Notamacropus eugenii: one gene and its partners. The protein of the gene in region 1 interacts with the protein of each later gene in a pairwise test. Links are inferred from orthologs where the notes say so. Each region holds a gene or a part of one and is shown in the gene's direction. Other genes may lie near its edges. The genes, in order: PEX19, PEX12, PEX11B and PEX10.

The links.
Region 2: the proteins of PEX19 (region 1) and PEX12 interact in a two-hybrid assay, tested with the Homo sapiens proteins (4 studies listed by BioGRID and IntAct, with this or other methods). The link is inferred for Notamacropus eugenii from reciprocal best matches to the Homo sapiens genes PEX19 and PEX12.
Region 3: the proteins of PEX19 (region 1) and PEX11B interact in binary tests that used the Homo sapiens proteins (3 or more experiments, as listed by UniProt). The link is inferred for Notamacropus eugenii from reciprocal best matches to the Homo sapiens genes PEX19 and PEX11B.
Region 4: the proteins of PEX19 (region 1) and PEX10 interact in a two-hybrid assay, tested with the Homo sapiens proteins (4 studies listed by BioGRID and IntAct, with this or other methods). The link is inferred for Notamacropus eugenii from reciprocal best matches to the Homo sapiens genes PEX19 and PEX10.

What each region holds. Positions count from the first base shown.
Region 1 is NC_092873.1:385,304,541-385,311,874, reverse strand, and holds the start of PEX19 (peroxisomal biogenesis factor 19), read left to right. Parts: upstream 1-4,313; 5' UTR 4,314-6,999; coding exon 7,000-7,063; intron 7,064-7,334. UniProt on the Homo sapiens protein: Necessary for early peroxisomal biogenesis. Acts both as a cytosolic chaperone and as an import receptor for peroxisomal membrane proteins (PMPs).
Region 2 is NC_092873.1:307,719,782-307,726,881, forward strand, and holds the start of PEX12 (peroxisome assembly protein 12), read left to right. Parts: upstream 1-4,093; 5' UTR 4,094-4,526; coding exon 4,527-4,652; intron 4,653-4,818; coding exon 4,819-5,372; intron 5,373-7,100. UniProt on the Homo sapiens protein: Component of a retrotranslocation channel required for peroxisome organization by mediating export of the PEX5 receptor from peroxisomes to the cytosol, thereby promoting PEX5 recycling.
Region 3 is NC_092873.1:303,222,727-303,229,984, reverse strand, and holds the start of PEX11B (peroxisomal membrane protein 11B), read left to right. Parts: upstream 1-4,238; 5' UTR 4,239-4,522; coding exon 4,523-4,578; intron 4,579-5,721; coding exon 5,722-5,837; intron 5,838-7,258. Other genes in the region: gonadotropin-releasing hormone II receptor-like, read right to left, coding at 1-161, 3,277-3,786. UniProt on the Homo sapiens protein: Involved in peroxisomal proliferation. May regulate peroxisome division by recruiting the dynamin-related GTPase DNM1L to the peroxisomal membrane. Promotes membrane protrusion and elongation on the peroxisomal surface.
Region 4 is NC_092876.1:37,005,888-37,012,954, reverse strand, and holds the start of PEX10 (peroxisome biogenesis factor 10), read left to right. Parts: upstream 1-4,047; 5' UTR 4,048-4,166; coding exon 4,167-4,278; intron 4,279-5,541; coding exon 5,542-5,622; intron 5,623-7,067.

The sequences.
Region 1 (7,334 bases):
GACACTTGACAGTGTGACCTTGGGCAAGTCACTTAACCCCAATTGCCTCATCCTGGGTCATCTCCAATCATCCTGATGAATTTCTGGTCACTAGATTCAGATGACTCTGGAGGAGAAGTGAGGCTGGAGACCTGCACAGCCCTCACTCACTCAAAATAAAGTCAAGTACAAGTCATGTCATTATTTCTCTGATGGCATGGTCTTCTTTGGCAACAAAGGATGAACATACACACGACATGACATGACATAACGTGCCCATAAAATACCAAGATAAGTCCCATTATTCAAAATAATGTCTGATAGGTGCCTTGTCCTTGACAGTCATAAACAGAAGAATGCTCTGTCAGCTTCATCCAGTCTTGTAGTTGCTAGGGTCACAACAAGTATCTGAGACTAGATTTGAACTTAAGAAGATCAGCCTTCCTGACTCCAAACCTGGCACTCTATCCACTGTGCCACGTAGCTATCTTCCTACTGCTCCTATCTCCTTTCACCTCATTCTTTACATGAAGGGTTGGCCCTTCTTTCCATGGCAAACCCTTCTATGTGCATCCTTGATTTCATATTCTCCTATCTTATCTAGTATATTGCGCCTCCTATTATTGCCTTCTCCCTAATCTTCATTCTCTCCCTGTCTACTGTCTTTTGCCCTCCTGCCTACAAATTAAGTTTTTCTTCCCTATATTTAAAAAAACATCATAATTATTCTCTCCTTTTCTTCTGTTTATTTATTGGTTGGTCAAAATGATATTTAAATAAATCTGGTTGGGGGAAAAATCTTTGCATTAAATAACTCTTGATAAAAGTCCGAAATACAGAAACTATAGAGAATTGACACAGATATATAAGATTCCTAATGGACAAATCATCAAAAAGTTTTTAAAAGAAGAAACACAAACTATCAGTGACCACGCAAAAATGTTCAAAGTCACTAAAAATCAGAGAAAGGCAAATTAAAATAATCATGAAGTTTCACCTCATATCTATTAAGTTAGCAAAGATGCTGAAATATGGAAAAATATTGTTCTAAAGATTGTTGGATCTGTGATTTGAATCAACTATTCTGGAAAATATGAGGAATTATTCAAGAAAAGTTACTGAATTGTTCATAACCTTTGGCCCATAGATCCCACTTCTGGGATCATGTTGTTCTGTCTTTTTGGTCATGTCCAACTTCATGACCCCATTTGAGGTTTTCTTGGCAAAGATATTGAAGTGGTTTGCCATTTTCCTCTACAGATAATTTTATAGATGAGGAAACTGAGGCAAACAGTTAAGTGACTTGCCCAGCTAGTAAGTATCTGAGGCCAGATTTGAACTCATGAAGATGAGTCTTGCTGATTCCAAGCCAAGTGCTGTACCCACTATACCAGCTACCTGATCTCCTAGATTATATTTCAACAATAATGATAGAAAGTCTATACATTAAAAAAAAATGCTTATAGAAGCATTACCTGTGACAACCTGGAATCAAAATATGTGCCCAACAGCTGGGGAAAAGCTGGTATGTATATGCAATAGAATATTACAATACCATAAAAAAAATTGTGAAAATGAGAAATTTAGAGAAACACAAGACTTACATGAAGAAAGCAGAGCCAAAGGAAGTGTACATAATGCCTACAACAATAAACCAAGAAAAAGCAAAATAAGTCAGATTCGGTGGCCAATACTGGTGCCAACAAGTCATATTGATGAGATCCTTAGGCAAGTATCTAAGGCCTTCCACAGTTTGGGTCCAATTTTTAACTGTATTTCATTCATAGGATTCCCTTTCATATAGCTTTGATGATTTTGTGCATTCACATAAGCCAACCAATGCCTATAATTGTCTTCACAATTCCTTTTACATTTTCATTTGTAAAAATCTTGTTCTTCTATCAAGACTCTACACACCGGTAACATCAATGATGTTTCTCATTGAAGCAAAGTATTTTCTCTCTACTCAAACTTTTCCAGAGCACTTGAGATCCCTCTTTTGCTCCCATTACACCCACCTTGTATTACACTTATCTGACTACAAGTCTTTAAACTCTCTCAGAGACAAGGTAAGTTCCATCTGTTATCATTTCTTTGTTGGATTCATTTATTCTATTTATTTCCTCTTCTATTTGTGCCTAGCCTAAGATGAATAAAAATCCTACCATTCTGTCAACATAGTATCCTATATCTCCTCCCTTTCTCAGTCCAGCTTCTAGAATCTAGATAAAGCTGTTTATGCTCAGTACCTCCACTTCCCTTCCTTTCACTTTTTTTCTTAACTCTGCATCCTGATTTCTGATGTCATAACTCAGCTGAAAGTGCTTCCTCCAAAGTTACCAATGATCTCTTGATTGCCAAACTCAATGCTTTTTATTCAATACTCATTCTTCTTGACCTCTCCATGGCACCTGACCCTACTGAACACCCTCTTCTGGATGCTTCTCTCTGGATTTTGGGACTGTTTTCTCTTGGTTCTACTCCTCCCCACATGACCACTCCTTATTTTCCTTTGCGGGACTATCATGCATATCACCCCCTCACTCCCACCCCCTAATCCTGGCCTTCTTCTCTTTTCTCTCTTGACTCTCACTTGGTGACTTGATCAGCTGCCATGGGATCAATTATTATCTCTATCCCTGGGAATCATTTTTATGATTCCCATATCTATTTATCCAATCCTATTCTCTCTTCTGAGCTCCAGCCTCACATTATCAACTACCTATTAGATGTTTCTCACTGGATGTTCAATGAGCATCTCAAACTCTGCATGTCCCACCTGAGGCTCAGATTTTCCTCAGACCAGCCTCTTTCAACACTTCTCTATTTCTGTAGAGGACACCAGCATCCTTCCAGGCTCCCAGACTCTCAGTTTTGTAGTAACAGTCATACTACTAAGCTCGGTATCATCCCCCCACTCTTACCTCATACAGTTGTTCAGTTATCAGATCTTGTCCTGTCTATCTCCACAACATCTCTTAAATTCATCCCCTTCTCTCTACTCTATCACCACCCTAGTTCAGAGCCTCTAGTTGTACATTCATTCACTCATACCCCCAACTCACCTGGTCTTGGGGGGAGGGCATCAGAATATTCCTTGCTCCCCCCATTGCCACTTCCAAACTCTCTCTGCCACTATAACTCAACAACATCTTCTTTCATTTTTTATCCAAATTTATCATACAATCTAGATGCTAGTGGCTTTTATCAATTAACAACAACAGCTAACATTTATATAGAGCTTACTATGTGTCAGGAACTGTGCTAAAAGCTTTACAATTATTATCTTATTTAATCCTCACAACAACTCTGTGAGATAGGTGCTATTATCATCCCCATTTTACAGGTGAGGAAACTGAGGCAAATGTGACTTGCCTAGGGTCATACAGCTAATAAATATCTGGGGTGAAATTTGAACTCAGGTCTTCCTGACTTCAGGCTTGGTACTCTATTAACTGCTCCACAATATTATCCTTTCTTCATTAATGAGTTCTGTGGCTGGCTCAAAATCTTTCTCTCCACCCTACTCCTCACACTGGGAACTTATTCATACTAGTGCTCTCTCAAATACCCTAATTTCCAAGTTCTTCAATCTATTTAGTTCCCATGACTACTCTCACTGGTGATATTACCAGATCTCATGAATTTGATCATCATCTCTAGGTAGATGATCCCCAGTTCTATTTATTCAGCCCTTCTCTCTCCCTTAGGCTATATATAGTTTTTCATTAGCAGCCATCTTTGGGGCATCTCAAATTGGATGTCCTGTAGGTATCTCAAGTTCAACATGTCCAAGAGAGAACTCATCATTTCTCCTAAACCCTCTTCTGAACTTCTCTATTTTTTCACTCAGTAAAATTCTGCCCTCTCTTCCTCTCATCCCACGCCTACTCCCTATTAAGAATCAAAGGGAAACAAAACCCCTATCACAAACATCTGTGGTCAAGTACAACAAATTTCAGCATTGGCTAGGTCTTAAAGAAAAAAAAAAGTGTGTGTATGCACACGCACATATAAATACACACACATATGTCTGCATATATACATGTATATCTGTCCCATTCTGCAACTTTCACTTCTTATCAAGAGTTGTATAGTATGTTTCATCATCGGTTCTCTAGAACTGTTTATTTGTTACATTGTTCAGAGTTCCTAACTCTTTCAAAGCTGTTTATTTCTACTATATTGTTATCACTGTACAAATTGTTCTGGTTCTAATCACTTCACTATGCATCAGTTCAGGTGGCACAGTGAATAGAACATTGCAATAGCCTGCTAGTGGTTCTACCTGACGTCCCTCCCTATTCCAATCCATTGTCCATTTAGTCACCAAAGTAATTTCCCTAAATTATTCTCCTACTCAGTAAACCCCAGTAGCTCTTTATTGCCTCCAGAATCATACAAAATGCTCTGTTTGGTATTCAAAGACTTCAACACCTAGCCATATCCAAACTTCCCAGTCTTCTTACACGTTACTCCCCAGGCAGTACCTGGCAGGAACTCATCACTCCAGAATCCAGTGAAACTTCCTTCTGTGCTATTTCCATCCCTCTGCTCCAAGCATTTTCTCTACTGTCTCCCAACCCTGGAAAACACTGCTTCCTCAATTCTGACTGCTGATTCCCCTGGTTTCTTTTATGTCTCACCTAAAATCTCATCTTTTATAAGAAGTCTTTCACAATCTCTAATTTCCTATTTTTCTTGTGTATCAACTATAGATTTGTATAGCTTTGTTTGCATATTGTCTTAGCCCTATGAATTGTAAGCTCCTTTAGGGTAGAGAACTCTTTTTTTTGCTTCTTTTTGTATCCTCAGCACTTTTCACAGTGCCTAGCACATAGTAGGTGCTTACAAATATTGATCGATTAATTGGTTGATTGAGCTGCTGATCTTGCACATTGCTCTTTAGGGTTCAGCTGCTGATAAATTCAGGTATGGACTCCAATTCCAACATCTGAGATCTCACAAGGTTGAAACTTAGACCATTCCGTTTCCAATACTCATACACTTAAGAGCAGGAAAGCAAAAAAAATACAAAGGCAAAAAACCAGATACATCATATTCACAGCACATGCTAACCCAAGCTATGTATGTCTGAGTGTGGGGGGGGGGGGAGGAAGTGTTGGAGATAGGGAATGGGCAGCAGGAGGCTGCTGAGGACATGGCTATCATGTGACATCACCTCCATAATGTCATGATTCTCTTCCAGAACAAGGAACAAACAACATGTCCCATCCAAACAAAGGCTCACAAAGTACTCCATGACTTGAGCATCACGAGGAAAGGCTAATGTCCATTTGGTCATTTGGTGCCTTTTGAATGTACATTCAACAGCTCAGCAGTCAAAATCAAATGGTGTTTTCTTCACTGGTGGTAAATGGATGGGAAATAATCATAGAATACCTGTATATTCCCTCTGCTCCAGATCTTCAGAAACTTCCAGAAGCCAGCTCACCAAATCCCTGCATCTGCGCGTTATTGGGCCCTCATTGACCAGTGCCCTGCCACTTCAGATGGATTTTGTAGGTATGAATGTTTACGCCTTAAGTGTAGGATCTATTTCAGTTTTGTTTCTATCACCTTTAGCATGTAGCAAAGTGCCTGATGTTATTAAGTAGGAACTTAATAATGGTTGTTTGTTGATTAATAGTGGATATAAGGCTTGCCTTGTCAGCAAGATCTGGGTTAATGTTTTCCTTCTGACACATACTGTGGGTAATGTGGGTAAGATGCTTAACTCTCAATGCTAGACAATTCTATAAAACTTGTAAATTACAGAGGAATTGAGAATGTGTATTTGTGAAGAAAGTTTCTGCACAAGGATGAAATCACAAGCTAAAAAAAATTCAGTTCAATTCAATAAGCATTCAATAAACACATACTACGTGCAAGGTTCTAAACAAGGTATGGTAGCTTCAAAGGCAAATGAACAAAAAAAAACCACTCAAACCCAACTAGTCCCTTCAATCAAGAAGTTTAAATTGTGTTACGGTGGAAGCTATTAAATACAGGTGAGAAATGATGAAGGGGTGATGAGGGCCTGAATTGTGTGAATGGAGGGGGGGTGCATATAAAAGAAAAGAGTCCAATAGGACCGATTTTTTGAAATGTTCTTTGACAAACAGAGCATACACAGAACATAAAATATGTTGATGGGCTAAGCAGTTGAGTGGGTATGTGGGTTAACCTGTTGTTATTAATTTCAACTGATGAAAGGATGAATTCTAGTGTAAAATTTGAAGGTACCTAATAAATGGGTAAGTGAGGAGAGGCAGGAGAAAGATTTGACTTCGAATAATACATAGGATTCCCAAGCACTCGTTTTTTTTGTCTGTAGGGTTACAGGCTAATTCGTAGGCTCAAGTCAACACACATCCATTAAAAATGTGAAGTTACACATTGTCCAAAGTTTTTGAGAGTCACAAGACGTTTTCCTTGCAACAGCACTGTAAGGTAGGCAATGCAGAGCAGCAGGAACTGCATTTTGTGGATGAGGTCGGGCGACGCTCGCAGGGACACAGGAGGCGTCGTGTCTCCGCTGGCTGCAAGTCCCACATTCTTTCCGCTGCGGAAAACGCAAAGATAGCTCCTGTGGCAGGGCTTGCGATCTGAAGGGACAGAACCTGAACAGAACAGCTCGTACGAGCCAGCCCGTAGCGAGTTCAAGGGAAGGTACAACGCTTTAACAACGTGAGGAAAGGTCGTCACCGGGTCTCGGGGAAGCCTTCTTGGAGCACAGTACCTGAACTGGGCTTTGAAGGCGTTTCCACAGGTGGGCCTCGCGGCAGCGAAAGCACGAGCGCGGGGGCGGGGAAGACGGGCGCCCCGTCCGGCAGGAGGAGCAGGGGGTGGTCCGCAGGAAGAGAGAAATGAGGTCATCTGTCTCTTTAAAAATGGCGGTGCCCGGCCTGCCTCTCTCCCCATTGGCTGCGCGAGGCCGAAGAACAGCGGGTAGGAAGCGGGGAGCACGTGGTAGGAAGACGGGAGCCCGAGCTTCTACGGCAAGTCCAAGGGAGCAAGATGGCCGCGGCGGAGGAAGAGAACGCGTCGGGCACCGACCCGGAGATGGACGAGCTTCTGGAAAGTAAGGGCCGGACTGGGGACCCCGAGAGGCCAGAGGGCCCGTGGTCCTGGGCGTGGAGGGGGACGAAAAGCGCAGACGCTGGCGCTGGGGGGGGGCGTCTTTCTCCTCAGGGGCCACCCCGCTCAGGTCGGGGGTCTGCCGCGAGGAGGGGCCGTCAACCCCCGGCGTGGGGGGACGGCAAGGTGCGGCGGACAGCCTCGGGAGCCCAGGACGTGGTCCCAGCCGCCCCCCACAGTGCGCTTGGTGAAGCCAGTTCTCTTATCCTGAACTC
Region 2 (7,100 bases), about 78 Mb from region 1:
CATCTGTAAAATAAAGGGGAAACACCACCTAATTCACGGGGTCCTGGTGATGAAGGGGACAGAGACAAAGGGAGAGGCACCGAAAAGGGGAGAGGACAACGGGAGGGAGAGGAAAGGGGAGAAGGGGAGACCGGGAGGGAGAACAGAACGAGCCTGGAGGAGGAGAGGGAGCGGAGGGCGGATTTCAGCAGCGCTCCTCGCGGGGGCTTCAGCCGGGGCCGCCCGCACGCTGGGACCCCGCACGCGCCCCGCGCCCTCCCGCCGGCCATTCGTCGCCCCCTCCTCTTCCCAGGAGCTGCCCCGGCAGCCTGACAGGAACCGGGAGTCGGCCCGCACCGCCCGATCCCCAGCCCCCCCCACCCCCGCTGGGCTCACCTGGCCACGCCCCTAGGGCCCCCCCGCCTCCTCCTCCCCGGACCCCCGCGGCCACGGCCACGGCCACGCCCGGCCTCGACAGCCCCAGCTCCCTCGCCACTGGCCCCCGCACCCACAGACCGGGAGGCCTGAACTCACCAGCGGCGACGAGGAGGGATGAGGCGAGCAGAAGCGAGGAGGGACAAGGCGGCGGGCCGTGGGCGACGAGCGGGCAAAGGGCTCCTGCCCAGCACGAATCCTTTCGGGGCGGCCTCGGCCACTGCGCAAATTCCCCTTTGCCAGGGCTAAAGATGGCCGACGGGAAGCGCCCACGTCAAGGGCGCGTGCGTCGCGGCGCGCGGGGGTGGGGGTTGGCGAGGGCGGGGCTCCTAGCATCCCCTGGGGGGAGCCTCGAGCCCAGGATGGAACAACGGCGGCGCGTCTGGTCGTCATGGAGATAGCACTCCCCCCTACCCCCGCCCGCCCTCCCTGCTGCTGCCCGATTGGTGCTCTCCCCGGTGAGGGGCGGAGGTTCTACTTTAAGAGAGTCTGTGAACCAGCGTACGGTTTCTGAGCCCCTGCTGCGTGTCGGGAACCAGGCTAAGTGCTGGCGGGACAAAGCCAAGCAGAAACGGTCCTTTTCCAAAGATCGCTGCCTCGGGAGTTGTTTCTTTCAGGACAATGTCACTGATTAAACGCCTACTGTCTTCCAGCTCCCCGTGGGCCGGACACTGGGCTAAGCTTTCCAAGGCAGAGATTCTCCACCTGGGGTTCGAAGACTTTAAATATATGTGTGTATGTACGTATATTTATAACTTTTGGTATAATTGGTTTCCTTTGAATTCTATACATTGTCTGCATCTAAAAGCATTATTCTAAAGAGGCGTCTCTAAGCTTCCCCAGACTGCTATGACACAGAAAAGGTTAATAATCCTTCCGCTAAAGGGAACTCCCCAGAAAGCTTTGCTCTTCTGCCGAAAGTAAATGTATTAGTCCTTCTAGTGAGCCAAAGAACCCAGGAACTGGATTTTAATCCAGACCAAGCGATGACCATGGTTGACAACCTCACTTTTCCCAGGTCCATAAAAACCAGGACTATAAGGGGCTCTAGTTTCACCCCACAGTTTTACAGTTTGGGGTAACTGGGGCTCAGGGATGCTAAGGGACTTGCCCAAGATCATATGAGTAAAATTAACAAACGTTTATTTAGGGCTACAAAGTGTTGTTAATCGATGGACAACAATGCCCTGAACTAGCTTACTTTCTATGAGGGATAAAAAAATACAGTATAAAAACATGAAAAGACTAGACCAGATGACCCCTTGGGTTTCTTCCAATTCTACATGCTGCAAATCAATATTCAGTTCATAAACATCCCTGGTCCCAAATTGGAGTCTGGCATGCAAAGAAAATCATATGGTTTTAGATTTGGAGCTGGAAAGGAGCTATGAAGCCACCTTGTCCAACCTTCTTACTTAACAGATGGAAAAAGTGAGGCCTGGAGAACTTGAGACAGGGACTTTCCTAGGCTACAAAGACAGGGATTACTCCAGATTTGAATCTAGGTCCTTCAACTGCAGATGCAACACTCATTCCACCGTGCCACAGTGCTTCCATGTTGTAAACCCAAATCAAATTTACTTTGCAGACTCCTAAGTCCAGCACTCAGACATTCTAACGAATATAAGAATCTATCCCTAGGAAAGAGAAACTATCTTCCCCTCTTGATATTTATTAGATGGTTCTATGAATGGTTAATCAGTGACCAGCATAAAAATAACATTTATATGCCACTTTAAGGATTGAAAAGTTCATTAGTTGCAAGTATTATCCCTATTTCAGAAACGAGATTCAATAATTCAATAAACATTTCTTTAGCACTTCTGATCTGTAAGACAGTGTGAGCTCTGTCCCAATGACACAAAGACAAAAAAAAAATAGTTCCTGTTCTCATAGAGCTTCCTTCTACCAGGAGAGATGGCCCATGCATGCATGGTCATCCATCTAATAAATGAGAAAGCTCATAGGATTAAGAACTGGAAGGGTTTTAAGAATAATGTAATCCACCCCTCTCCTCATACAGTTGAAGAACCTGAGGCCCACAAAGGTAAAGTGACACCCAAGGTCACCCCCATAGCAAGTAAAGAACCTGAATGGATTTGAATCCAGCTCTCCAGCCTCCAAATTCATTGTTCTTTCCAGAAAAACTGTTGTGATAAATAAAATGGATATAAACATATAAATAAAGCTCTCATAAATGTTTATATTATAGATTATATAAATTTATGAATTATATATAAATTATAAGTATGTGCAGAGAGAATACCTTGCTGTTTACAAAATTAATTGGAGTTTTATCTCTACTTTGCTGATGGTGAAAGGTGAAATTACTTGTTCATTCTTACACAGAGAATGAGTATTGAGGTCAGACAAAACTAAAAATCTAGATCTTCTGACCACAAATTGAGAATTCTTTCGATTTTTTCAGGCTACTATACACTCCTTTATATTATTATTTATTTCACTTGTTAGGATGGTCTTCCTCACTTCATTCATCCGTTCATTCAACAACCATTTACAATGCATTTGACAAAGTAAGAAGCCAAGTGATAAATTAAGGCATGGGCCACCTTATGATTACTAGAAAGTATCTATTCAATAGCTGTTTGAGAGGGAATGACATTTCAGAGGATTACCCCTTTGAGGGCGAAGTCTGAAATGGAAAGATTAGACATAAGAGATGCTGAATCACCTCAAGGTCTAAGTATCACTTGACAGCACCAGTGTGCCATATATTCTGGAGGCCGCCTTGAGCTCCTTTGAAATAACGTGTGACGTTCGAGGAAAGTCTCTCGAGACCGTCAAGTGCGGTTAGTGCAACTCTGCCTTGGCAAAGAGGGGAAGCTAGATGACTTGAAATCAGCAAGATTCTGAGCTGGAGTCTTGCCTCAGACACTTAATAGCTGGGGGATGTTGGCCATGACATTTAACCTCTTTCCACCTGCTTCCCCATCTGTAAAATGGGGATAATAGCACCTACCTCCCAAAGTTGCTGTAAGGATAAAATGAGTTAACGTATGAAAAGTGCCTCCCAAGCCCTAAATATCATATAAACGGCTGATTTTATTATATCGACGAAATCACAAGGTCTGTCCAAGAAAACGAGATTCGGACGTGTGTTATAACACATGAAGGTACTTAATAAATATTATCTTGTGGCTTCCCACTGAAGAAGGCAGCTGGACGTGCAGTGGACGCAGCACTCCACCTGTCCTCTGGAAGGCGGGAGTTCAAATCCCCGGTCAGACACTTCCGGGCTTGCCAAGGCAAGCCACCGAACCCACCTATAGGAGGATAACAGCAGCCCCTAGCTCCCAGGGCCGTGGCGAGGATGCAGAGACATTTGCAATACGCTTTGCATCCCTTAAAGCACCACACAAAGGTGGCGGCTAGGATCTCAGGTTCACACAGCACCAGGAAGCAGGCTTTTTTCCCCCATTTTACGGAAGAGCGCGGCAGGCGGCTTAATCCCCGCCTCCGGTCTAGGCCGATCCCTCCCCTCCGCTTTCTCTGGGCAAAGAAGGTAAAGGTCCCAAGCAGAAGGCCCGGCCGAACCCACCCCCGTCTGCAGGCCTGGGAGCCGCCCCGAGGCAGCGGTGAACTAGAACGCGTGCCTTTAGGGCAGAGAAGGAGAGAGGGTGTGGCCCATTTAAAGGGCCAGCCGGCCGGAAGCGGAAGTGAAGCGAGGAGGAATAGAGTGGCGGCCTGCGGGATAGAGCGCCTCCTCCCCACCCCCATCCCCCCACCCCATCCCCGTCTCGCCGCCGGAACGTCTACTTCTGTGTACTGCTCCAGAGTTGGCCGGCCCCCAAGTGCGGCCCACAAGGCTCTGGACTCCAGGGCCCTCCTCCCTCTCAGCGCCGGGCTCCCTCATGGGGCCCGGATCCCAGCCCCTGGCCCGGCCGCGGCAGTCGCCTCGGCCTCCTCCCCGTGGCCCGGACATGGTGGCCGGGCTCCCGTCGCCCTCCAGCTGAGCAGCCCCCTCTGAGCCCCCCGCCAACCCCGCCCCTCCTCCCTGAGGCTCCGCACGGCCGGGCTCCCCGATGGCCCCCTCGGATTTCCTCCCTTTCTGACGTCGGGGGTCCGCCCGGGCCCGGCACCTAGAGGGCACGATGGCCGAGCACGGGGCTCACATCACAGCCACCCCGGGCGCGGATGACCGGCCCTCTATCTTCGAGGTGGTCGCGCAGGACAGTCTGATGGCCGCCGTGAGACCCGCTCTCCAGCACGTGGCCAAGGTAAAGGGGGAGGGGGCCGACTGACCCTAGCGGACCGGGGAGGGAGCCACGACCCCGGGACGCCCCAGCCCTAACCCGAGCGCCCAGATCGCCCAGGACTCCTGGCAGCGAGTCCCGGCGGCTGTGGACGGCACATAACGAACTTCATTTTCCTGTTTTGCCCTAGGTTCTTGCAGAATCCAACCCAGCGCATTATGGCTTCCTCTGGAGGTGGTTCGATGAGATCTTCACTTTTCTGGATCTTCTACTACAGCAGCACTACTTGTCTAAAGCCAGCGCCTCCTTCTCTGAAAACTTTTATGGCTTAAAGAGGATCGTGATGGGAGACCCTAGCGGGGTCCGGAGGTTGGCCAGTGCTGGCGTCCCCAAGAACCAGCTTTGGAAGTCTCTCTTATTCCTGGTCCTCCTTCCCTACTTGAAAGTGAAGCTGGAGAAGCTGGTCTCCAGCCTAAGAGAAGAGGATGAGTATTCCATCCACACCCCCTCGTCCTGTTGGAAGCGGTTTTACCGAGCTTTCTTGGCAGCTTATCCCTTTGTGACCATGGCCTGGGAAGGCTGGTTCCTCGTACAGCAGTTACGTTACATCCTGGGGAAGGCTCAGCATCATTCACCCTTGCTGAGCCTAGCTGGAGTTCGGCTAGGTAGACTCTCAGCAGAGGATATCCGAGCTTTGGAAAAGACACTAGCTGGAGCCAGTGGGATGCAACAGCCAGCCACTAGGTAAAACGCTGGAGGTAGAAAACCTCTATTTTTTTTTTTTAATTCATAAATACCATGCTAAAATCTGATCCTGATTTTACCACATTCAGGCAGTTTTACAGTCTGGCTCTGCGGTTGTGCTTCACACAACCTACTTCATCACTGAATCATCTAAAAATCCCTAGATTACTTGTAATTAAAGTGTAGTTAGCTTCCTGTGACTCCCAGTTAGAAAAAGGAAGGTATTTTTATTTAACGAGCTTTTATTAAAGAAGTGGCCCAGTGATTTCCTTAAAACTCCCTCTACTAATGTAAGACAGCACCTTCTCTACAATCCGTAGTCTTAGAGAGCAGTGTCAACTACCGAGAGGTCAACGGACTTGTCTGGGCACAGGGAGGGGTCTGAGGCAGGCCTGTGTCTTTTGTCCTGCTTCTGAGGCTGCCTCTCCAATGCACTTTCTAAAAGTTATGTGCTACGTGTTATCTCCTAAATATGGCAATCTGCTAGTGCTTGGAGAGATGCCAAAATTAAACCAAATTGGTTCCACTGCCCTAGGGGAGGGCATAACCTGTGTAGGTTGAGGGACTTGGTACAATAGCCCTTTATGTAGAAGTAAGAGGTCACCAAGGGCTGTTGACCTTAGTCCCAGCTCTTTTTCCACTGGGCTTTAAATCTTGCTTCTGCCACTTAGTACCCTGCTCTGCACATAAGGGCTCAACTCTGTAAAAAGAGGGGGTTGTGCAGCACTCTGGTCCCTCAGAGCTACAAGTCTATGCTCCCATTGGAAGGCTTCCAGAAAGAAGTGGCAGTGTTGGGTCTGAGACTTGAAGCTGGTAAGGTAGCATGTCAGAAGGGGTTCCAGAAAGAGGTGGTAAAGCACAGGCTATGGATCAGGACAAGGGGTCTTGTTGGGCTAGAAAGAAATCACGAAATGGTGTTAGACCAGACTCATGATAGCCATGAGGGCAGAGAATGCAGGTAAGGAACCTGCTGGAACAATGCAGGTCAACAAGCTTTTATTAATTTATTGCTATGTGTCAGACAGTGTGCTAAGTCCTGTGGATACAAAGAAAGGGGAGGAAAATAGTCCCTGCCCTCACAGTCTAATGAGGTCCCATGCCAACATGTATAAGACTGTGTAGGTATATATACAAGATACACACAAAGTTGATAGAAAGTGTTAGATCAGCACATTCTCTGAAAAGTTTCTGTCTCTTGGAGCACTGAGGTTATAAAGGTCACACAGCCTTCATCAGTGTTGTAAAATAAGGTTAAAAAAGTTGACCCTGGGTTTTAGAAGTCCTTGAATGCCAGGCTAAGGACTTTGGATATAACCAAGACTAAGGAGTTTGGAAAGCTGTGGGCAGTATAGAACCATTTGAGGTTTTGACATCAGGTTTCTTAACATCAAGTCTGTGGATAAAGAATATTCATCTATCAGCTGTGTACAAGCTGGGTTGGAAGAGGAAGAGACTGTAGACAGCAGCACTGCTAAAGAGGCTATTAAGACACTACCCCAGAGTCTGGATTTGAGAGTGGAAATAAACGAGAGTGCAGATAGTGGAAAAAAGGGGATAACTGAAGAAAAGAGGTGACAAGTATTGCAGAGGCAGAAGCGATAGAAACTGGCTTCTTTCTAACAGAGATGTGGTGATACTGGAAAACTTGGCCATGTAGTCCTGCACATGATTTTGATGAGCAGTGTTAAGAATGAATATTCTTAGAATTTGTAATATTTAGGACCTGTG
Region 3 (7,258 bases), about 82 Mb from region 1:
CCATAGCAGATTGCCATGGCTGTCAGAGGTATCAGGAAGAGCCCACAGAAGGTGAAGAGGTTATAGGCGATTTCTTGCCATCGGGCCTTGAAGCTTCCTTTGGTGACACACTGAATGAAGGGGACTGGGCCAGCACGGCGGACAGTATGAAACAGGAACAGCTGGAGTGGGGTGGAGTATAAAACAAAGACTTCCACCTTATGTCATAATATTCCTCACTTCCACCCCCTCACCCGTACCATATAGGGAGGTTGATGTAGCAAATACTGATTAGGGTAATAGTATATCCATGATGCCAACCACCAAACTAGCTGAAGCATAAACATCCATTTAAAGATAAATGTAGCTGAATTCTGTTTTACCAAAAACAACCATATGAAGGGTATTTTTTTCTTTTAGCCATCTAGCCAGTAACTCACGGTGCTATTACTTGCTGTGTGTAGACAAATATTGTTTGAACAAGAAATAACTATAAAGGGTGCTGTTCAGAAACCCACTTAAGCAGTCAATCTATCAACAAGATGTTCTTTGAGCAAGAGCTTGTGTATTGTAACTACTGAAAGTATTAATAAAAATTGACATTTTTTTTTTTTAAAGTGCTGTGTTGGTCTCTGAGTATCGTTCTTGCTTGGAGACTGCAGGGCTGTTAGTTTCCACTCCAGCTATGGAAGCAAAAATACCTTGGCTTCTAAATAATAGTTAAGTCTTGCTTGGAGGCAGTTTCAGCAGAAAGGGGGGAAATCTCACAGAAATGGAAGGAGTCATTGTCTATAGCTGAACGTTACCAGTTGCTTGGAACTTTGAGCCACTGAGTTGATTGGGGATAGAGAAGGGCCAAGATGTAGTCATGAGGGGACACTGGATCAGGAGTCTGAAGACATGAGTTTGTCTCTTTTTACAAGTTTATACTCAAATGTAATCAAATACTAAGCCAGCCTCAGATACTTAATTGGCTGTATGACCCTGGGCAGGTCACTTAACCTCTGCCTCTGTTTCCTCAGATGTAAAATGGGTATAACAGCATCTACCTTGCAGGGTTGATGTGAGAGGATGAAATGAGATATTGGTAAAGTGCCTGACACATAAAAGACCTTATATAAATGCTTTCCTTCCCTTTCCCCTCTCTGCCCAAATAAACCTTTGGATACTTCAGAACCTCTCAGATTGTGAATATAAAATGAGAATAATACCTGTACTATCTAGCTCATAGGGTTTTGAGGGAAGTAAATTACTTGTTAATTGATATGTCAGCTCTTTTTACTACCAAATCACTTCCCTCAAAACAACTGTGAGGTAAGCAACACAAGTTAATAACAGTTGGCTTGCCCATTGTCTCAGTGGCAGAGCTGAGAAAAAAAACAAGGGCTGACTCAGAGACCAGCAAGTAATTAAGCAAAACCTGGGCTGTTTCACAGGACAGTTCTAGGGATCAAATTATACAGTTAATGCAAAAAAAATCCCACCTTTTTTGTAAAAAAAAAAAAAAAAAAAAAAAAAGGATTTTCCTCCTTGTTTCCCTAGGTATTCAATGTTTTCTTATTCTACCTTCTAATGCTCAGAAATAACCTTGTAAGAGGACATTTTGGGGAGGGAGAAGGTAATGGAGCCAGATAAATGACCAGGGATCTAGCCATTCTATAAACTGAAAATGAAAAGCCACAGGATTTACAAACTTTATTGGCTCTTTCTTGTAGCTGCTGGTGAGTAGGTGGAAAACTCAGTATTTGGTGCAAATCTGAATGGATACAAGTGACCTGGAATCTAAAAGTAGATCAAAGCTCCAAGCAATCCATAGTACTTACATTATACCTTACTTTATCCCAGTCTTATTCTTTTCTCCAAGTAATAAAAGATTAATATAACTGTAGAGCAGGAAGGGACATTAGAGACTATCTGGCCCAACCCCTTTATTTTATAGAGGAAGCAATTCAGGCTCAGAGAAAAGTCACAATCAAATTAGAAGAAATCTTTCAATACATGTATAATCTCTTACTGAAATGTCTGGCATCTGGAAACTTAATAAATGTAAGCAGCAGTCTGATCAGTTTAATGACTTTAAACATCATATATATTAAACTCTAAAATATCAACACATTTTAAAAATGTCAAATTTTATTTAAAAAATAGAATCTATTAAAAAAAATTATAGCCAAAAACTAACAATTATCTCAGTTACCTCAGAACTGACAGAACATCCCCTTTTGTACAATATTTCTCCTACCCATAAAGTCATCATTATTAATTTGTTGGTATTGATATATGGTGCATAACTAATTTTGTCTATATAAAAGAAGAAAAAATTAATGTATCTCCCTCCTCTGTAATAGGGTTTCTTTACAGTTAAGGATGAGTTACTTGGAATGTTGGCTTCATTAGGTAAAATACATGTTTGTCTTAAAACCATAATTAGGATTTCTTTCAGTATTCTCATATATCTTCTCTAGCTGAGAGGTGCCACCTAGTTTCTGTGTTGTGGAAATTAGTACTTTTAATGATTTTGTAGATTTAAATGCCTTTATTGTACTAAAAACAGCACTAGCATAGAGTCAGAAAACTTGGATTCTAGTTCAGGCTTTTTGTTTATTGTCTGTGTGAACTAGGGGAAATCACTCATATTTCTGAACCCTGGTTTCCTCTTGTAAAATGGGAATATTCATTCAATAAGCATTTATTATTGAACATTAAATGCACACTACCTAACTCATAGTGCTGTTGTTGAGACTCAAATGTGTATAAAGTATTTTGTAACCTTACAGTGCAATATTTGTAAAATGTGCATTTTTTTCTTAGACTCCTTCCAAAGTGAAGAATCCTAACATTTTTTCTAGTCCATCCACAAACACAAGCTGCTTTGTTTGTTTTGGTAAAAAAAAAAGTTTTCGGTTTTTTTTCTCCCTAACTTTTTAAAACTCCCGGGTTGCTTTAAGATTTGAACGTCAGAACAGCCAGAAGTGTTCAGGTTCGGTCATGCACCATAAATTTGCATACCATGATTTCAATTTACTTCACTTTCCTTTCTTATTTTCATTAACTATAGCCTCTCCTTGTTTACCGTAGAGTTGAGGGAAAACTGAGAAGAGATAAACTGAAGTTTGGGGGACCCACCGGAAAGCGAGATGCAGCGGATGGGTGGGGCGATTCTGCATTCAATTTCATGCCAATTGTATGTAAATAGACTTGAAGGGCACAGAAGAGGTAAAAGACCATCTTTTCCGTGAGTTCCCTGGGTAGGATAAAACCTCGACTCCACGGGCTCACACTCCTTTGGTCACTCACCTGGGGCAGGGCAAGTAGAAAACTAAGCCCCCAGGCCGTTCCCAGCAGCTTTCGCCCACCCCCTCGGGGTCCAAGAGGATGGAGCACCGCAGCCTGGCGGTCAAGTCCAATGACCACAGGCAGAAAAGCAGCCGCGTACATGGCCAGCAGTTTCAGGAACATAAGTGTCCGGCAAGCAACATCTCCAGCGAGCCACTGGACGGTGGCATTCCACGCAGCATCCAGGGGCATGACCACGAAAGTGACCAGTAAGTCTGCAGCGGCCAAGTGGCCAAAAAGTCGGCGGACAGGGGAGGGGCGGAGTCTACTGGATCTTGGCCGCGTCACTGACCACAGCACAGCCAGATTCCCTGCAGCCGACGACAGGAACAGGGCAGCGGTCACTCCTACTCGGACCTTGGCGGCAGTTGAAAAGGTGGGAAGCGCTGACTCCTCCACCTCGACCCCCGCCCCCGCCCAGGCTTCCTCTCCGGCTGAAGAGCCCCAAACTGTATCATTGTCGGAGGACATAGCTGCAGGGGGGAAGCGGCCAGCTCGGGCAGCCCATCTCTTCCCCAGCCAGGCCAGGGGCTGGTGCGGGTCATCGTGGTCTCGGACCGCATCGGTCGTCAGTTTCAGGGACGCTCCCCATCTTTGTCCGGAGGGCTGTCAGCTCCGCCCCGCTGTCCAGAACTCAGGGTCCCATCCCGCAGGGGGCTTCCCAGGCCCTCCTGCTCCGTGCCCAGACCCAGCTGGCCGAGGGGCTCTGGTCCCCAGCTCCCCGTGAGCCCCCGGTCCAGCGCCCGCTCCGCAGCCGGAGGTCACTGCGGCAGCTGTTCAGCACGCCAGCCTAGGCCGGCCCCGCCCCGCCTCCTCAGGCCCCGCCTCCTGCTGGTCCCACCTCCCCCTTCCTCACCGGCTAGTACTTTTAAAGATCGCGGCTGCCAAGGGGCCCCAAGGACTGCGCTGGGCGGCGCTCCCGTCCCTGGGGCGCGGGAAAATCTGTGCAGATGGCTGAGCCTCCTGCCGCGCCCGAGCTTCCGAGGGAAGCCGAAGCACCCCTGGGAAGGCCGGGCCCCGCCGGGCCCCCGCGGCGCCGCGGCTCCGAGGGGCGGGGCCTCCGCGCGCTTTGCTTGGCTCCCCAGTTTGTCCCTCACGCGGTGCCGTCGGGCTCTGCGGAGGAGGGCGTGGGGAGGGGAAAGGAGACGAGCCCAGGCTGGGCAGTGCTGGGCCGCGGAGCCGGTTAGTGGACTTCGAGGCCGCTGGCATGGATGCCTGGGTCCGCTTCAGCGCCCAGAGCCAGGCCCGGGAGCGCCTGTGCAGGTGCGGCCGGGGGCAGGGGGCGCGAGCGGGGACGCAGATCTTTGCGGTTCCCTCGGGCGACGGGGGTCAGGATGGGTCAGCCCCGGGTACGGAGGCCGGGAGCGAGAGACCCCTCAGCTAGTGCGCGAGCTGAGCTGTGAGGAAATGAGTCGTTCCCCCCCGCAGGACAGATGGGGAAACTGAGGCATGGATTGGGGGCAGGACGGGGAGGGTGGAGATCCCGACGACCAGGCTCGCCTCGGAGATGGACTCTGATCCTGGTGTGTGTGTGTGCGCGTGTGCGTGTGTATGTCTGTGTGTATGTCTGTGTGTGTCTGTGTGTGTCTGTGTCTCTGTGTGTGTGTCTGTGTGTCTCTGTGTGTGTCTGTGTGTGCGTCTGTGTGTGTGTGTGTCTGTGTCTGTGTGTCTGTGTGTGTGTGTGTGTCTGTGTGTGTCTGTGTCTCTGTGTCTCTGTGTGTGTGTCTGTGTGTGTCTGTGTCTCTGTGTCTGTGTGTCTCTCTGTGTGTGTGTCTGTGTGTCTGTGTCTCTATGTGTGTGTGTCTGTGTGTCTGTGTCTCTGTGTCTCTGTGTCTGTGTGTGCGTGGTGAACCGCCTGGTCGCCACAGGTCCTACTGTTAGCTGCTGGGCCTCCAAGGGGCTCGTGCCCACGTGACTCAGGCGGCGTGGGGTGCGGGGGAGGAAGAATGGGGCTGGAGTGGAGTCTGTGGACTCTACCCCAGAACCGCCGAGCGGTCTCGGGGCGCCGGCAGTGGGGGAAGTGCCCCAGGTGGTGCCCTGGGCCCCGCGGCCAGACCCCCCCCCCCCCCCCCCCAGGCCGGGGAGCTACCAGCCCTTCAGCCGGTGCCGCAAGCACACCCCCCATCTCTCCGTGCCTATCTGGATGCCCAGCGACGATCCTCCACCCTCTTTCCAGTGTCCATTTCCTTTTTCTTTTTTTGCTTTAATCCACGCTTCCTCACCTCCCAGTCCCTGTGACCTTCACTGGTTCTCCTGTCCCATACCCTCTCCTCTCTTGTTCAGAAGGGCAGAACGAGGAACCTGGGGTTTGGAGGTGTGCAAGTCTTAAGGAAGGTTCTGCTGGGGAAGGAGGTGTTTCAGCCTGACTTGAATACCACCCCTACCCCTCTCTCCTCCTTCCTGTAGAGCTGCTCAGTATGCCTGCTCCCTCCTTGGTCATGCACTGCAGAAACATGGGGCAAGTCCTGAACTTCTGAATCAAATACGGCAGTTGGAGGGCCATCTGAGCCTTGGACGAAAGCGTGAGTGACTTTTCTCCTCTGAATAGATAAGTGCCAAGTATTCTCTGCTTCCTTCTGACTTCCTTTTAGTCTCTTCCTCTAGCTAATCGTCCCCTCCCTGTATTTTTACCAAAAACCTTTTTAAATAAATGTTTTATTAATACTCTTTTCTTTTAAAAGTCTGTCACTGCTCAGTGATTTTTCCATTGCCTCCTCAATCTTTACTTGTAGCTAAGCGCAGTTAAGGAAAGCAAATCAATACATCATCCATGCATGCTTTATTCCAAATCTAGAGGCACCATATCTCTCAGGATAAGGGAGGGGGCATGCCTCATGTCAGTCAAGATTGGTCACTGCATTGATTAGAGTTTTAAAGTTATTAGTTGTTGTATACCTTTGTGGTCATCATTTTAATTGTTCATCAGCCTCTTTATTCACAGTTCCAATTTATGGGAGTCTTCCCAAGTTTCTTTAAATTCTTTATATTTGATGTTTCATAGAGCACAGTCATATTTCATTATATTCATACACCACAGTTTGTTCAGCTATTCCCCCACAGCAGGGACCCATTTTGTGGCTGCTACAAAAAAAAGTGCTGTTATAAATATTTTTGTTTATATCGAGTCTTTCCCTCTGTCTTTGACTTCTTTGGGATTATGCCTGGTCATGATATCACTTGACTAAAGGGCATATCGTTTAGTGAATTTTCTACCATGATACCAAAGTTGTTTTCTGACGTGGTTAGATCACTTCAGAGCTCTACCAGCAGTGGATTTGTGTGCCTGTCTTTTCACAAACCCTGGAACATTTACCATTTTTGTCTTTTGTCATCTTTGTCAGTCTGATGATTGTGAGGTAACCTTGTATTTTTAATTAGCCTTACTCTTGCTAGAGATTTGGAGTACTTATATTCTTGTTAATAACTTGAATTTCTTCTGACAACTTCCTCTTCATATCCTTTAATCACTTATCGGTCGGGGATATATTTATATAAATTCCCTATTTATTTTCTGTATGTTACTTTTAGCAGATCTTTGGGGCAAAGATTTTTTTTATTACAGCTAACAACTTCTATTTCTAACAGTATTGTTCATGCAAAAGCTTTTCAGCTTTATGTAATTGAAATGACATATTTTATCTTTTATGATCACTATTATCCCTTGTTTGATTAAGAATGTTCTTCAAGCCATAACTTTACCCCCTCATTCTTATTTCACAGTTGAGGTGGCTGGAAAACAAAGTACAAGCAGGGGATTGGGATTGATTAAAACCATGAACAAAGGGAAATGGAGAAAATGTCATTAGAGTCCGAAGTTGTCAAAGAGAAAGAAACAAAACTTGGCTGCTCCAGTGCCCTTGCTTTTGTCTTGTTGCCTACTTACCGCCACACTCTGTCCTCAGCCTTGTTTTATCTGCCCGTGGCTGTCTTGTTCATCTCCTCA
Region 4 (7,067 bases), on another chromosome or scaffold:
CTAGTTGTTGGGGAATGAGCAAAGGCTTCTCCTAGAAAGAGTGAATCTTGAAAGAAGAGTGATTTTAGCAGTTCATCAGTCAAGTATTTATTAAGCACCCACTGTAGACCAGGCATTGTGGTAGGCAAGAGGGAAATAAAACCAAGAATGAAACGATCCCAACCCCTAATGAATTTTCATTCCCATAGGGAGATAAATACAGATAAAACTATATACAGGCTAAATATACAGGGAATAAATACAAATATATACAAGATATTGTGAGAGGGAGGGCAGTACTATTTGGAAGGATTAGAAAAGGTTTCATATAGAAGATGGAGTGTGAGCTGCATCTTATTTTTCCCCTTATTTTTCTAATATTTTAATAGTATTGTATGTTTTCCCAATTACATGTAAAATTAGTTTTCAACATTTATTTTTTTTATAAGATTTTGAGTTCCAAATTTTTCTTTCTCCCTTCCTCCTTCCCTTACACTCTCCCCAAGATGGCAAGCAATCTGATATAGGTTATACGTGTGCAATCATGTTACATATGTTCCCACATTAGTCACGTTGTGAAAAAAGAATCAGAACAAAAGGGTAAGCCACAAGAAGGAAAAAACAACAAAAAGGTGTATGCTTTGATCTGCATTCAGACTCCACAGATCTTTCTCTGGATGTGGATAGCATTTTCCATCATGAGTCCTTTGGAACTGTCTTTGATCATTTTGTAGTGCTAAGAAGAGCTAAATCTACCATAGCTGATTATCTTGAGCTGCATCTTAAAGGAAGAGAGAAACTCTTTAAGGTGGAAATGAGTGGAGTCAGTGCGTGCCAGCATATGGGACATCCAGTGCGCAGATGATGGTCATGGGTTAGGAAGAGGGAGAAAGCCAGCTTGGCTGGATAGCACAGTGTGGGAGGGAGAGTAAGGTCCAGTGAGTTAGGTTGGGGCCAGTTTTAAAAGCTGAACAGTGAAATTTCTATTTCTAGAGGCAATGGGAAGTAAATGGACATTGAATGAGTGGGGGATTGACATGGCACAAGAAATATTACCTTGACAGCTCTGTCTAGGATGGATTGGGATGGAGAAGGACTTGAGACAGAGAGACCAGATAGGAAGCCATCGCAATAGTCATGGCAAGAAATGATAAGGGCCTGAAATAAGATGGTGACAATGTGAGTAGAGAAAATAGGTCAGATGTGGAAGTATTGGGGAGGTAGAAACCACAAGATTTGTCCAGTGACTGGATTCAAAGCAAGAGGGGAATTAGGAGCTGATGACATCAAGGTTAGAAATCTGGCAGACTGTAAGGATAGTGGTGCCTTCAATAGAATAGAGCATTTGGGGAAAAGGGAAGGTTTACAAGATTTGGTTTAGGATGTGGTGAGTTTGAGATGCCCAGTAGCCTATAGTGAAACTCAAGGGACAAACTGAGGCTAGAGACAGATATTTACCCTTTGCCCCCCAACCCTCCTCTTCCTTGTCTCCCCCCCCCCCCACACACACACATACACACCTACTGTGCTATCTCCCAGTCTCTCCCTTTCCAAACCAGGTGTTTGTCCCTTAGGGCAGTTATGACCTAAACCAAACTGCCTCTACCCACAACAGCTACAGGGTTGTCTTTGGGAAAGTTCAACCCCAGTTGTCCACTCTCTCCCAGATCATCTCTTGGCTATGAGTGGGAGCAGTGACCAGCAAGAGCTCTATCTCCCCTTTTTTGGCTTTGAATGGAACCAAAGATCTTGGAGCATGGTGAAATTATAAACTGGATTATAGATCTTTCCATCATTCCTCCCACAAAACTGGCCCATCTCTCAATTCCCTAATACGGGGGTGAGGGAAGGACTAACCTCCCACTTACAGTTTTCCATAACCACCTTCCCCTTCCAGCCCCACATCCCACTATCCAATCAATTGCCAAATTGTCAGACTTCCACATTTGTCCCCTTCTCTCTGCTCACACAGACAACACGTTAATTCAGGACCCCATCACCTCTTGTCAGGATTATTTGTAGTAACTTTCCCTGCTCTAATTCAGCCTCCACCCAGGGGATTTGGGATTTTCCTAAAGCATTGCCCTGACCATGTCACTCCCCTACTCAGTAAACCCCAATGGCTCCCTATGGACTCAAAGATTATTTCATCTTCATTTTAGTCTTCCTTAATTTCTATTTTTGAACTTCATGTTGTACATAAATAGTAATAATACTAGTCAGCATTTATATAGCACTTTCAGTTTTGCAAAGTGTTTTTTAAAATAAATATTATCTAATTTCATCCTCACAACAACCCTGGGAGATAAGTGCTATTATTGCCCTCACTTTACAGAAGAAGAAACTGAGGCGGGGGGGTCACACAAAATGAGTAAATATACACGTCTTGAGGGTGTATACTCAAAACAATCTTTGTTTGATGTGCAATATCAAGTCTTTGGAGAGAACCTGAACACTTCATACAATAATAACAATGTTGCAAAGGGAAGCAGCTTTGAAAGACTTCGGCACACTGATCTATCTACACAGTGACCAACTACAATTCCCAGGACTCATTAAGAAACATGCTATCTGCCTCCAAGTGAGGGACTCTTCAAATTAAAGCAGATACATATATGTATATATGTGTGTGCATATATGTGTATCACATATATGCATATCTACACAATGCATATACATACATACGTACATGTATACACATGCATATACACACACATACCGGTAGAGCAGTGGATAGAGACCTGGACTTGGAATGAGGAAGACTCATTCCAGGTTCAAATCCAGCCTCAGACACTTCCTAGCTGTGTCATCTTGGGCAAGTCCCTCTACTGTGTTTGCCTCAGTTTCCTCCTCTGGAGAAGTAAATGGCAAACCATCTCAGTATTTTTGCCAAGAAAACCTCAAATAGGATCATGAAGGGACAGGATTGAAAAACGACTGAACGTGTGTATACACAGATATATACTAAAGCAGATGAATAGAGGGGACAGAGAGACAGACGGATGGATGCAAAGAGAGGATAGAGAGGGACGGGTAAGATGAAAGGGGCAAAGGTGGGGGTTTGTTTTGCTTGTCTCTATTTGTAATTGCTTTTTCTTGCTTGCTAGCTTCCTTTCTCAGTGGGTGGAGAAGGGGAGGGGAGGGGAGAATTTTGGAGACCACTGAGGCTTGTCTGCGATGAAGACACAAGCTCGGAGGCTGGGGTGGGCTCTGAGCCCAAACGCGGTGAGTTCGCCCCTTCCTGGGCTGCGCAGCCTCCAGGCAGGCCGTGTGGCCCCCGGGGTGCCCACCCCCCGCCCCCCAGGTCTCAGATGCCCGTCCTGAGCCCTTCGCCAGCTTGTCCCACGGGAAGAGGCTTTGGGACCGGGAGGGGCTGCTCGGGATATTCGGACGGTCTGATCCTTTCTTACTGCATGGGTGGGGACACGGCTCGGGCCCCCGAGTGGCCGCGGCTGGACCCAGGTCTGCTGACTCGCAGCCTCCGCCGGGAAGGGCAAGACCGGGGGTCTCCGCTCGGGGCACTCCCGAGGGGATCGCGAAGGTGCAGGGTGGGCTTTCCACGCCCGCGGGGGGACGCGGGCGGATGGTCGGCGGAGCGGGCACTGCAGGGTAGCGAGGAGAAGCCGGGACCCCAACGGTCCGCTAGCCAATCGACAAGGGTTTGCGAAGTGGTTAACTAAGTTCAGGAGGAGGAAGGCCGTACCCCCTGCTCCCCAGGAGCTTCCACTCCACGGCACGGGCGCGGGGCACGGGCGCGGGGCACGGGCGCGGGGCACGGGCGCGGGGCATAGCCGGGACCACCCGTCTACACAGAGGTCCGGGGGAGCCCTGGGGTCCCGGGGGGAGGAGGCTATGGGCAGGGATGGAGGGCAAATGAGACTGGGGTTCACGGCCCCCGGCCATTCAGCCAAGTGCCAAGCTCGAGGCCTCCGTTTTCCGCTCCCCGCTCCCCCCCCCCCCCCACCGATCTCTCCTCCCCCCCACCAACCCATCCCAGCTCTCAAGAGACTGGTCCCTTTAAGACCTTCACCTCCTCCTCCTCCTCCTCCTCCGCCCCACCCCATCCCTGCACGCGTGAGTGACGTATAATCCACGCGACACGATCCGCGCGACGGCGGTCACCAGGCCCCGCCCTTTGGGCACCGAGGGGCCGTGCCCGGAGCTCGGAGGCGCTGAGGGTCGTGGTCATGGCCTTGGCGTCCGCCAATCAGCCGGAGGTGATCCGTGCTGCGCAGAAGGATGAATATTACAGGGGCAACCTGCGGAGTGCGGCCGGAAGCGCCCTGCACAGCCTGGCAGGTGAGCCCGGGCCAGGGAGTGCGCAGGCGCGGACGGCCGCGAAGGCCGGGGTGACCACAAGAGGTAGTGGGCGGGCGGGAGCCAGAGTGCGCAGGCTCAGGTGGGGATGGGGTGAGAGGGAGTGGGCGGGGCAAAGGGGAGTGGGACTGCGCAGGCTCCGACTGGAGAAGGCGGGGCCAGCGAGGGAAGAGCCACGGAATGCGCAGGCGTGAGAGGGAAGGCAGAACAGAAGAGTGGGCGGGGCGGGGCGGGGCGGGTCCATGTGTGTGCCCCGCCGCTAGGTTCTCTGATGTAACTGTTGTGATTACGCCCAGTCCTTGCTTTCCACAAGCCCCGCCCCCATGGCCCTGCTAGTTTTCCTTCTTACCTGCTAGAGTGCCCTTCATCGCTGGTAGGATTTAATTTACTTTGTGCAGACTCTTCTTTCTGGCACCCAAGGCCCTTTCTTTCAAACAATAAATACTGATTAAGCGCCTGCTGTGTACCAGGAACTGTGCTAAGCGCTGAGAATACAAAAAGAAGCAAAAAGTGCTTGCCCTCAGGGACCTTCCAGTCTAAAAAACAGTGAAATAACAGCCAACATTCATATACTCCTTACTATGTATCAGGCACTGGGGATTCAAAAAAAGGGAAAAGACCATTCCTGCCCTCAGAGGAAAAACGAGATCATAATTGTAAAGTGCTTAACACAGGCTGACACATCATTAGTGCTGTACAAATGTTAGCCATTATTATCCAGCACCCCCTGGATGCCAGGCATTGTGCCAGTTACTAAGGATGCAAAGAAAGTCAAAAGACAGGCACGCCCTGCCCTCAAGGAGCTCACAGTCTAATGGAGAAGACAATGTGTAAACTATTAGGGAAAGACAAGACAAGCCAAGTATAGGATAAATAGGAAACAATTAACCAACGGTGGGTTGGGGAAGACTTCCTGTAGAAGGTGGGATTTTAGTGTGGACTTAAAGGAAGCCAGGGAGCTCAGGAGTCTGGCACAGGGGACAGCCTGAGAGAATATGGAGACATGGAGGGTCTTGTTCGAGGATGATTTGGCCCCAGCCTGTCTTTGAAAACTCGTTGCCCATGACCCACGCTCCAGGCCAGCTCACTTGGTCTGCACTGTTCCCCTTATAGGACGTAGCATCTCCCACCTCTTTGCCCTTGCTGCCCCTCATTGCCAGGGCTTGGCACAGTGCCTGGCTCACAGAAGATACTTAATAAATGTGCACTGACTGCTTAGATTGCTGTGCCTCTCTACTCTTTCAGGTGCTAAGAAATGGCTAGAGTGGAGGAAGGAAATTGAGCTGCTGTCGGATGTGGCATACTTCACCCTTACCACGTTTTCAGGTAGGGTGGTGGGGGATGCAGTGAAGAATCAACATGGTGCCCCCAAAATCTGAGGGCCTTGGGGGATGGGGTGGCTTCGCAGCACTCTCAGGCCTGGGAGCCCTTTCCCCAGCCCTTAAGTCTCTGCCTTTCCCTCCTTCCTCAGTTAAGCACCTGGGAGGCCTCCTCTGCTCACACTTTAGAAGAATTCTTTCAGGGATGGCAGAGAAAGGATAAGTCCTTTGTCATTCGTGATTATGGGAGTGAAATGGACCTCTGGGCCTGTGGTCAAATCCTGCCTGGCCCAGCGAGGCACAAGCAGCCACCTCGATCCCCATGCCTGTGCAACCCTGTGATTCATGGGCCTCTTACAACATCCCTGGGAGCCCTTTGGCCCAGAGAGGATGAATTGACTTAGCCCAAGTTCCATCATTATGCTGTGTCACTGCTGACTTCCATTACTCAGCTCAGTTCAGCAAACATGCTACAGCACCCACTGTGTGCAAGGTCCTAGGGACATGTGCTAAAGAGATGACAGTCTCTGCCTAAAAGGGGGAGTCATGCCAGGTACCCAGTTAAGTACAAAGAACCGTAATGGGGAAAAGGGTGAAATACTAGCAAAATGCTCCTTGAAGAAGAGAATGTCCTTGCTTGGGGAGACTGAAGAGGGCTTCATGGAGGTGGCAGCTGAGCAGAGCACCAAAGAGAAGGATTTGGACCATGGAGATAAAAACAATAATGATGGTTTTTTTGTTTTTCAGTCATGTCTGATCCTTCATGACCTTATTTAGGGTCTTCTTGGCAAAGACACTGGGGTAGTTTGCCATTTCCTTCTCCAGCTCGTATTACAGATGAGGAAACTGAGGCCAACAGGGTGAAATGACTTGCCTAGGGTCACCTAGCTAGTCAGTATCTGGGGCTGGATTTGAATGCATCTCTCTTCCTGACTTTAGGCCTTGGTACCACTTAGCAAACCTAATAGTAATAACTGGAGTTTACATAGCATTTTGAGGTTTTCAAAATGTTTAACATGTGTTGTCTTGGCTGACACAGCAAACTTGGAAGTAGGTTTGATTAATATTCCCATTTTGCAAATGAGGAAACTGAGGAATAGAGGTGAAGTGACCTGTTGGGGGTCACCCAGCTAGCGAGTGTCTAAGAGGCCTTATTTGAACTCCAGGCCTAGCACTCTGTAAGGAGGCAGGCTCGGATAGTGATGAGAACAGTGGTGAAGCCAGTTTGGCAGAGGCTGCTAGGCAGGCTCCCCCAGGGACAAGATGTCAGCTTTTTATCCTGGAGTCAGTAGGAAAGAAATGAAAAGAGCCAAGCAGGAGTGATGGCTGGAGTCTGGCCTGATGATCTAGAGATTGTTCTGGAAGCAGGCAAGCCCATCAGTGGGCTGGGGAGAGGTGATGAGGGCTTGACCCAGGGCAGCTGGGGTGGGGAAGGGTCAGAGATGTGAGGGC